3 linked regions of the Saccharomyces cerevisiae S288C genome follow. The protein of the gene in region 2 interacts with the protein of the main gene of each other region in a biochemical or structural test. Each region holds a gene or a part of one and is shown on either strand. Other genes may lie near its edges.

Region 1 (3,449 bases), on a different chromosome or scaffold from region 2:
TGGCGGCAAGGAAAAATTTAAACTCATCAAGTACTTCAATAGCTTTATACTAGCAATTTTTGCTAGTGAATTTTTTAATAGCAGGTCTTGTAACAGCTATACAGCGAAAAAAAAAAGCACATCTTTGAAATAAATTACTATTCGCGTTCATTTTTCCTAATCACACCTAATAATGTACACAATCAGCAGTTTTCTCGCCTTAGCACCGGGTGCCCTTCCAATAGTTGTATTTACTAGTTTGAATCGAGAAACTTACCGAATTGTAGCGTGGTGACAATGCCAATATATTGCTCGTGAATTTACCTTGAAAGTTCAATGAGTTTAAAACAAGAAATGGCCATAGATTTTCATTTTTAAATGCAAAAAGCATTCGAAATATCTACAATTTGCACTAAAGTCATAACGATAAAAGCATTCACTGCCCGCAGGAAGACTAATTCCTTAGTTTTTGATGAAAAGTGGAATTTTTGAGACTTTATTGGTTTGGGTAGGTCTCTATGACCTGCCAGTCGTCGTTGCCAGAAAATAACGCAACAACATCAATTGCTTAAGGAGCGAAAAAATTGACGATTGTTTAAACTTTCCAAGATCTATTACCTTAGCAAGACAATTTCTTCTCTAAGTGAGCTTCGGGGAGTTACTTTTATAACCGCATACCATACTCCATTTAATGTCCCAACTATTTCAAAAGTTGTACATGGAGGTCCATCAGCAAGTATTTTTTTTTCTTCAAGCTATCCATCTCAGATAGTTCCCTTTACCGAGCTTTAGGAGGGATAAATATGGCAAATCTATCACTTATTCGTCAACAATATAGTAAATGCCGGCAAAATTACGGCCTACACAGCGAAGCTTGGACCACATATACTTATATGCCATGGTCCTAATTGAGTTCCTAGGTTTGTCACGACGGTGGCCACCGGCCGATCAACCGTATCATTTACTATTTTTTTCAAGAGGACAACGACTTCATTCTTCAAAAAGTCGTTCCAGGTACGAGTGATTTAGGAAGGTCTGAAGAAAAGCGACTATGCATTTTTGCAAAATTGCGTCAACGTTTCAGATACTCTCTGGTGCGCAAAAATGCGTTTATTTCAAGCCAAGTTGCAATCTTTATCAAAACTTGATATACATTAAAATACTCACTAATATATATATATATATATATATATGTACATATACATATATAGATTTATATGACGTTTCCGACGCATACTGGTGAACCACTTTCTTTTTAGTGAATAGCCTCATTATGCAGTTTCCGGTATTTTTTTTCCGTTGCTTCAGCTACGGGATTTCTTCGATGCCATTGAAAAATAAAGTTGTGTTCAATGAGAATATGGAAAGAAAAGACACTTTTTACCAGCTGATCTTAAAAGTTTTGTCTGCTTTATTACTTCTATCGGTAAGAAACTCGAGTGGACATACGAGACACTTTGTGCAGTCGTCGGAGAAAATTTATAGGCGATCACTCTTTAAGCAATAAGAAAGTTTCACGTATATTATTGAATAATACATTAATCATATTGTATATCGGTGGTTGTACAAGGAAAGAGCGAGCCTGCACAAAATGTATGTTGATCCGATGAACAACAATGAAATCAGGAAATTAAGCATTACTGCCAAGACAGAAACAACTCCAGATAACGTTGGACAAGACATTCCTGTAAACGCACATTCGGTGCATGAGGAATGTTCTTCCAACACACCCGTGGAGATAAATGGAAGAAACAGCGGAAAGTTGAAAGAAGAAGCGTCTGCAGGTATTTGTTTGGTTAAAAAACCAATGCTACAATATAGAGATACCTCAGGAAAGTATTCCCTAAGTGACTTTCAGATTTTAAGAACTTTGGGAACTGGCTCATTTGGGAGAGTTCACCTAATTCGTTCCAATCACAATGGGAGGTTTTACGCTTTGAAGACATTGAAAAAGCACACTATAGTGAAGCTGAAGCAGGTTGAACACACCAATGACGAACGCCGAATGCTTTCAATTGTTTCACATCCATTCATCATTCGAATGTGGGGAACGTTCCAAGATTCTCAGCAAGTTTTCATGGTAATGGACTACATTGAAGGTGGTGAATTATTTTCTTTACTACGTAAATCTCAAAGATTTCCCAACCCAGTAGCCAAATTTTATGCCGCAGAGGTATGCTTAGCGTTGGAATATTTGCACAGTAAGGATATAATATATAGAGACTTGAAACCAGAAAATATCCTTCTAGATAAAAACGGCCATATCAAGATAACCGACTTTGGCTTCGCAAAATACGTTCCCGATGTCACATACACATTATGTGGCACACCAGATTACATAGCGCCGGAAGTGGTCAGTACAAAACCGTATAATAAATCAGTGGATTGGTGGAGTTTTGGTGTGCTAATCTATGAAATGCTTGCCGGATACACTCCATTTTACAATTCGAACACCATGAAAACTTACGAAAATATACTGAACGCCGAATTGAAGTTCCCACCATTTTTCCATCCAGACGCGCAGGACTTATTGAAGAAGCTAATTACCAGAGACTTAAGTGAAAGGTTGGGTAACTTACAAAATGGAAGTGAAGATGTCAAGAACCATCCGTGGTTTAACGAAGTGATATGGGAGAAATTGTTAGCAAGATACATAGAAACGCCGTACGAACCACCAATCCAACAGGGCCAAGGTGACACTTCTCAATTTGACAGATACCCTGAAGAGGAATTCAACTATGGAATTCAAGGGGAGGATCCATATATGGATTTAATGAAAGAATTTTAAGGAGGTTCAGTGGGATAATTGTAATTGAAAAAAAAAAAAAATCAATAAAAGTAAAAACAAGAACAAGAAAAAGCACAAACAAACCTGGTTATAGATTCTTGGTGAGTCTAACAGGGCCATGATAAAAAAGTGACACATGCATATATGTACATGTATATATCTACGTACGTCTATTCAATAGAGGTGTATACAGATAAATAAAGGAGCATTCATATACGCCATATTGTGACTACATTTGCGTCCTCAGAAGACTGGGACGTTCAAAGTGATCTAGGACTTTTCACCCAGGGAAAACAGGATATCTGTAAGAATCGGCCATAAAACTCATTAATAGAAGAACAGTATAACATAAGTGAGCCTGCTACAATAAGAAGATGTCTAAGGTTGCACAACAGTTAAAATTTTTGAATAAAATTAGCGCCACTACCAGACTACCGCAGATTCTAGTCGATCCTAAAAAATACTCAGGTCTTAGATTGACTTTTCAAACGAAAAACCACAATGGACATATGGGTGCCAGAGTTTTTTGGCATAACTACCTACCCACTTTGCAGTTCTATAATCCAAGAATGAAGTTTGACGTGATAAGGATAAAGAACGAAGACAAGCAAAAAAGCGTTCCATGCAAACTGGAGATTTTATCTCATGAAGGCTCCGTTGTAGAGACTATTGATATGCGTAA
Region 2 (3,841 bases):
AACAGAAGTATAAGGAGTGCAACTATGAAAAAAATAAAAAAAATCCATCTTCCCCATCTCCATGAGGAAGAGCTAAATGGATCATCATCTGTAATCGCTTCACCATTGTTATTATTATCATCCTGTCTTTTATGTATTAGGAAGTCGATCTGCTCCCGTAAAATCATTTCAAAACTATACTCTCTGTTTAGCTAAATTTCCTTCAGCTTTCTAGCGAGCTAAGGAATGTATTCCAAATTTACTGCTCCTTTATTACGTCAAAAATTTCTATAGTATTCGATTCTCATTAGTAATTATAAAGGAGTAGCGAGAAAAACAAAAATAAAAGGGCGGAAACATAAAGATGGTAAATAAGACAGAGAATATTACCCGGAAACATACTACGAGATTATTGAGCTAATCTCCATGCACCAAAGTGGTTAGACATTTGGCTACATTGACTACTGCAACAATTACTTGAACCCTCTAATCCTTCTTACATATCTATTCATATGTGATTTCACAATGCTACATAAGCGTTTTTTATATAATTAAAGAGCAACTTTTCCTCACAGTAGATAAAAATATATATGCACGCTGTAAAGGAAAATTACATTAGGAACAAAAAAATCTAGACGCAAGTAACAAGCACATCGAAACTAAGCCTTTTTGTTGATTTCTTGAGCTTTTTCAAATTCTTCTTTAAATTTATCAGCATTTTCCTTACTGCCAAATCTGATAGCAAAAGTGAAGGCTTCTGCTTCACCTTCTGCAATATCTGCTGTACAAGCATACACCCAAGATCTATCAGAACCAACGTTAGGCTTCAAAGTGTATTCTGGAGCAATGATGTGGTTAGCACAAATCTTTAAGGTCTTGTCTCTTCTCATCAATATTCTAACCTTGTTAGTCTTTTTGTTCTTCAAGAACTTACAGTCACCAGTACCTCTTTCTTTCCATTCCTTGGCATCGGCATCGAATCTGAAAAGCTTGGCTCTGACCTTGTAAAGAACTTCTTCGTCTTCTTCCATTGTCTTAACATCTACCTTTTCCAGGTGAACCACTGGTTCAAAATGGATATCTGGTGATTCTGGAGCATCATCACCTTCCTTCTTGGTTTCCTCCTTGGTATCTTCTTCGTCTTTCTTGGTTTCTGGCTTTTCGGCCTTCTTACCACCAAACATGGAGAAGACAGCAGAGGATGGTGGCTTTGGAGCAGCCTCTTCCTTCTTGTCGACGACAGGTTTCTTATCTTCGCTAGACATTCTTTTTCTATAGTTGTGTTTATCTTCTTGCTTTTATTTCAAATTAAACAAGATCTTTCTTCTTTCTCCAATTGAATATCAATTTCATCATCAGATTTTAGTTTCTGTTTTATTTTTTATTTTTTTATTTTTTTTTTGTTTCTTGTTTTCCGCGTACTTCCCGCTGGGCGAAAAAAGAAATGAAAAAAAGAAACGACAGGAGCATCGTGTAGGACGAAGCCCCTTATCCCCTAGTTACCGAAGAAGGCCACCAATCTTAAGTTTGATAGAGCAGTACTTATATAAGGCTATATATAGACTGGTTCACAAGGTTATCAATATGAAACTTGCGCGATCACCGATTTACGGGATTTTTCAGGAGCGAGGTACAAGATTTGTTGGCCTGAAAAGATCGCAAAACATTAGCTAGAAATTTTCCCCCTATCGTTTTCCGTAGAGTAAATATAATATCAAGAAGATAGTTTTATATTGACTGATTTCACAACCAACTGCATAGATATAAGGAGATTACTAGATACAAGAACGCCTGATAAACAAAAAAAGAAAAATTAACAAAAAAAATCAGTAGAATGAGTCAAGTTAATACAAGCCAAGGACCGGTAGCCCAAGGCCGTCAAAGAAGATTATCATCACTAAGTGAATTCAATGATCCATTTTCGAACGCAGAAGTCTACTATGGCCCCCCAACAGACCCAAGAAAGCAGAAGCAGGCAAAGCCCGCTAAGATCAACCGTACGAGGACTATGAGTGTTTTCGATAATGTATCTCCTTTCAAGAAAACTGGTTTTGGTAAACTTCAACAGACTAGACGTGGTTCTGAGGATGACACCTATTCAAGTAGTCAAGGTAATCGTCGTTTCTTTATCGAAGATGTCGATAAAACACTTAATGAACTACTGGCTGCTGAGGATACCGATAAAAATTATCAGATCACCATCGAGGATACCGGTCCAAAAGTTTTGAAAGTCGGTACCGCAAACTCCTATGGCTATAAGCATATTAATATTAGGGGTACGTATATGTTATCCAATTTGTTGCAGGAACTAACTATTGCGAAAAGTTTTGGTAGACACCAAATTTTCTTAGATGAAGCTCGTATAAACGAAAATCCCGTCAACAGATTATCAAGATTGATAAACACACAGTTCTGGAACTCTTTGACCAGGAGAGTTGATCTGAACAACGTAGGCGAAATTGCAAAAGATACCAAGATTGATACGCCGGGGGCAAAAAATCCAAGAATCTATGTTCCTTATGATTGTCCAGAACAATACGAATTTTATGTTCAAGCTTCTCAAATGCATCCATCTTTGAAATTAGAAGTTGAATATTTACCAAAAAAAATAACGGCAGAATACGTCAAATCCGTCAATGATACCCCCGGTTTACTAGCATTGGCTATGGAAGAGCACTTCAATCCTTCTACTGGTGAAAAAACTCTCATTGGTTACCCTTATGCTGTTCCTGGTGGTAGATTCAATGAATTATATGGTTGGGACTCCTATATGATGGCACTAGGTCTCCTAGAAGCCAACAAGACTGATGTTGCAAGAGGTATGGTGGAGCATTTTATTTTTGAGATTAATCACTATGGAAAAATATTGAATGCTAACAGAAGCTACTATCTATGTAGATCACAGCCCCCATTCTTGACTGAAATGGCCTTGGTAGTATTCAAAAAACTTGGTGGTAGGAGTAATCCCGATGCTGTGGATTTGTTGAAAAGAGCTTTCCAAGCAAGCATAAAAGAGTACAAAACTGTTTGGACCGCATCTCCAAGGCTTGATCCCGAAACAGGCTTATCCAGGTACCATCCTAACGGTCTCGGTATTCCTCCGGAAACTGAAAGTGATCACTTCGATACCGTTTTACTACCATATGCATCGAAACACGGCGTTACCTTAGACGAATTTAAGCAACTTTATAACGATGGTAAGATAAAGGAGCCTAAATTGGATGAGTTTTTTCTTCATGACCGTGGCGTTAGAGAATCTGGACACGACACTACATATAGGTTTGAGGGCGTATGTGCCTACCTGGCCACTATTGACCTGAATTCTCTTCTTTACAAATACGAGATTGATATTGCAGACTTCATAAAGGAATTCTGCGACGACAAATATGAAGATCCTTTAGACCATTCTATAACAACTTCAGCTATGTGGAAAGAAATGGCCAAAATCAGACAAGAAAAGATTACCAAATATATGTGGGATGACGAGTCGGGGTTTTTCTTTGACTACAACACAAAAATCAAGCACAGAACGTCATACGAATCCGCAACTACATTCTGGGCATTATGGGCTGGACTTGCCACGAAGGAGCAAGCACAGAAAATGGTGGAGAAAGCACTACCCAAGTTAGAGATGCTTGGAGGTTTAGCTGCATGTACGGAGCGTTCTCGAGGCCCAATTTCTATTTCGAGACCAATTAGACAATGGGACTATCCATTTGGTTGGGCACCCCATCAAATTCTTGCTTGGGAAGGCCTCCGTTCTTATGGTTATTTAACTGTAACGAATAGGCTAGCTTATAGATGGCTTTTCATGATGACAAAGGCTTTTGTCGATTATAATGGTATTGTGGTTGAAAAATAT
Region 3 (3,600 bases), on a different chromosome or scaffold from region 2:
AAAGGATACATTAAAAAGAGATGGACTTAAGAGTAGGAAGGAAATTTCGTATTGGCAGGAAGATTGGGAGTGGTTCCTTTGGTGACATTTACCACGGCACGAACTTAATTAGTGGTGAAGAAGTAGCCATCAAGCTGGAATCGATCAGGTCCAGACATCCTCAATTGGACTATGAGTCCCGCGTCTACAGATACTTAAGCGGTGGTGTGGGAATCCCGTTCATCAGATGGTTTGGCAGAGAGGGTGAATATAATGCTATGGTCATCGATCTTCTAGGCCCATCTTTGGAAGATTTATTCAACTACTGTCACAGAAGGTTCTCCTTTAAGACGGTTATCATGCTGGCTTTGCAAATGTTTTGCCGTATTCAGTATATACATGGAAGGTCGTTCATTCATAGAGATATCAAACCAGACAACTTTTTAATGGGGGTAGGACGCCGTGGTAGCACCGTTCATGTTATTGATTTCGGTCTATCAAAGAAATACCGAGATTTCAACACACATCGTCATATTCCTTACAGGGAGAACAAGTCCTTGACAGGTACAGCTCGTTATGCAAGTGTCAATACGCATCTTGGAATAGAGCAAAGTAGAAGAGATGACTTAGAATCACTAGGTTATGTCTTGATCTATTTTTGTAAGGGTTCTTTGCCATGGCAGGGTTTGAAAGCAACCACCAAGAAACAAAAGTATGATCGTATCATGGAAAAGAAATTAAACGTTAGCGTGGAAACTCTATGTTCAGGTTTACCATTAGAGTTTCAAGAATATATGGCTTACTGTAAGAATTTGAAATTCGATGAGAAGCCAGATTATTTGTTCTTGGCAAGGCTGTTTAAAGATCTGAGTATTAAACTAGAGTATCACAACGACCACTTGTTCGATTGGACAATGTTGCGTTACACAAAGGCGATGGTGGAGAAGCAAAGGGACCTCCTCATCGAAAAAGGTGATTTGAACGCAAATAGCAATGCAGCAAGTGCAAGTAACAGCACAGACAACAAGTCTGAAACTTTCAACAAGATTAAACTGTTAGCCATGAAGAAATTCCCCACCCATTTCCACTATTACAAGAATGAAGACAAACATAATCCTTCACCAGAAGAGATCAAACAACAAACTATCTTGAATAATAATGCAGCCTCTTCTTTACCAGAGGAATTATTGAACGCACTAGATAAAGGTATGGAAAACTTGAGACAACAGCAGCCGCAGCAGCAGGTCCAAAGTTCGCAGCCACAACCACAGCCCCAACAGCTACAGCAGCAACCAAATGGCCAAAGACCAAATTATTATCCTGAACCGTTACTACAGCAGCAACAAAGAGATTCTCAGGAGCAACAGCAGCAAGTTCCGATGGCTACAACCAGGGCTACTCAGTATCCCCCACAAATAAACAGCAATAATTTTAATACTAATCAAGCATCTGTACCTCCACAAATGAGATCTAATCCACAACAGCCGCCTCAAGATAAACCAGCTGGCCAGTCAATTTGGTTGTAAGCAACATATATTGCTCAAAACGCACAAAAATAAACATATGTATATATAGACATACACACACACATATATATATATATATTATTATTATTATTTACATATACGTACACACAATTCCATATCGAGTTAATATATACAATTCTGGCCTTCTTACCTAAAAAGATGATAGCTAAAAGAACCACTTTTTTTATGCATTTTTTTCTTCGGGAAGGAAATTAAGGGGGAGCGGAGCACCTCTTGGCCAATTTGTTTTTTTTTTATGTAATAAAGGGCTAACGATCGAAGATCAATCACGAATATTGGACGGTTTTAAAGGAGGGCCTCTGAGAAGACAGCATCAATTCGTATTTTCGATAATTAACTTGCCTTATAGTGTCTGATTAGGAAACAATCACGAGACGATAACGACGGAATACCAAGGAAGTTTGTGCAAATATACAGCCGGCACAAACAGCAGCTTCACTCAGGTTAACTCACATACTGTTGAAAATTGTCGGTATGGAATTCGTTGCAGAAAGGGCTCAGCCAGTTGGTCAAACAATCCAGCAGCAAAATGTTAATACTTACGGGCAAGGCGTCCTACAACCGCATCATGATTTACAGCAGCGACAACAACAACAACAGCAGCGTCAGCATCAACAACTGCTGACGTCTCAGTTGCCCCAGAAATCTCTCGTATCCAAAGGCAAATATACACTACATGACTTCCAGATTATGAGAACGCTTGGTACTGGATCTTTTGGTAGGGTTCATTTGGTGCGCTCTGTTCACAATGGTCGGTATTATGCTATAAAAGTTTTAAAGAAACAACAAGTTGTCAAGATGAAACAGGTTGAACATACCAATGACGAACGACGTATGCTAAAGCTTGTGGAGCATCCGTTTCTGATTAGAATGTGGGGTACGTTTCAAGATGCTAGGAATATCTTTATGGTGATGGATTATATCGAAGGTGGTGAACTTTTCTCGTTACTGAGAAAGTCACAAAGATTTCCTAATCCTGTAGCAAAATTTTACGCTGCGGAAGTCATACTGGCATTAGAGTACTTGCATGCTCATAATATCATCTACAGGGATTTAAAGCCAGAAAATATCTTGCTGGATAGAAATGGCCACATTAAAATAACCGATTTTGGGTTCGCCAAAGAGGTACAAACTGTCACATGGACGCTTTGTGGGACTCCTGATTACATTGCTCCTGAAGTTATTACCACAAAGCCATATAATAAGTCGGTGGATTGGTGGTCTCTAGGTGTTCTAATCTACGAAATGTTAGCTGGTTATACACCCTTTTACGATACTACTCCAATGAAGACGTATGAAAAGATTTTACAAGGTAAAGTAGTATATCCACCATATTTTCATCCCGACGTCGTGGATCTACTAAGCAAACTGATCACTGCAGATTTGACAAGAAGAATCGGTAATTTACAAAGCGGTTCCAGGGACATCAAAGCTCACCCATGGTTTAGTGAAGTTGTATGGGAAAGATTGTTAGCAAAGGATATTGAAACTCCATACGAGCCTCCTATCACATCAGGTATCGGTGACACGTCTTTATTCGATCAATATCCCGAGGAGCAGCTAGATTATGGTATTCAAGGCGATGATCCATATGCTGAATACTTTCAAGATTTCTAAGTTCCATGAACCAAAAAACACAAAAACAATTTTCAAGTACTTTCTCTCACTCCTTTTCCTTTCTCTTTTTTCCTCCACCAAAATCTGGCGCACTTTCTTTATATTTTACCTAACGGATGCCTTATTTGTGGTCTGTTTTAAGCTAGTTCATATTGTAAAAAAAGAAAAAGAGATGAGAAGAACAAGCGTTGCCCTAAATATCTTCTATACTACAATTCATTTTAATTCAATATCATATTTAAGTTGAGGGCATTTAGATCTTAGAGATTCATCTAAAAATAGGAGGGGTGATGTATAGAAAATGTTCGAATATCATTCCTCTGCTTTTTTCTATATGATTATTTCCTATATGAGCTTTTACTTACTGATCTCATGATCTCAGTGCAAAAATTAGGGGACCGGCACGCCTGAAAGTTTTTTAGATAATTGAATGTTGCGGTGCATTACCTATGAAAAG

What was found.
Region 1: of the proteins of NTH1 (region 2) and TPK3, one has a biochemical effect on the other in vitro, tested with the Saccharomyces cerevisiae proteins (one study listed by BioGRID).
Region 3: of the proteins of NTH1 (region 2) and TPK2, one has a biochemical effect on the other in vitro, tested with the Saccharomyces cerevisiae proteins (2 studies listed by BioGRID, with this or other methods).

The regions. Positions count from the first base shown.
Region 1 is NC_001143.9:133,827-137,275, reverse strand, and holds TPK3 (cAMP-dependent protein kinase catalytic subunit TPK3), read left to right. Parts: upstream 1-1,570; coding exon 1,571-2,767; downstream 2,768-3,449. Other genes in the region: mitochondrial 54S ribosomal protein mL61 MRP49, read left to right, coding at 3,142-3,449.
Region 2 is NC_001136.10:450,448-454,288, reverse strand, and holds the start of NTH1 (alpha,alpha-trehalase NTH1), read left to right. Parts: upstream 1-1,813; coding exon 1,814-3,841. Other genes in the region: RCR2 (Rcr2p), read right to left, coding at 1-167; Ran GTPase-binding protein YRB1, read right to left, coding at 639-1,244. UniProt on the Saccharomyces cerevisiae protein: Hydrolyzes intracellular trehalose to glucose. The disaccharide trehalose serves as a storage carbohydrate that is mobilized during nutrient stress. Regulates the level of trehalose as a protectant for cell integrity during heat stress.
Region 3 is NC_001148.4:164,256-167,855, forward strand, and holds TPK2 (cAMP-dependent protein kinase catalytic subunit TPK2), read left to right. Parts: upstream 1-2,000; coding exon 2,001-3,143; downstream 3,144-3,600. Other genes in the region: serine/threonine protein kinase HRR25, read left to right, coding at 21-1,505.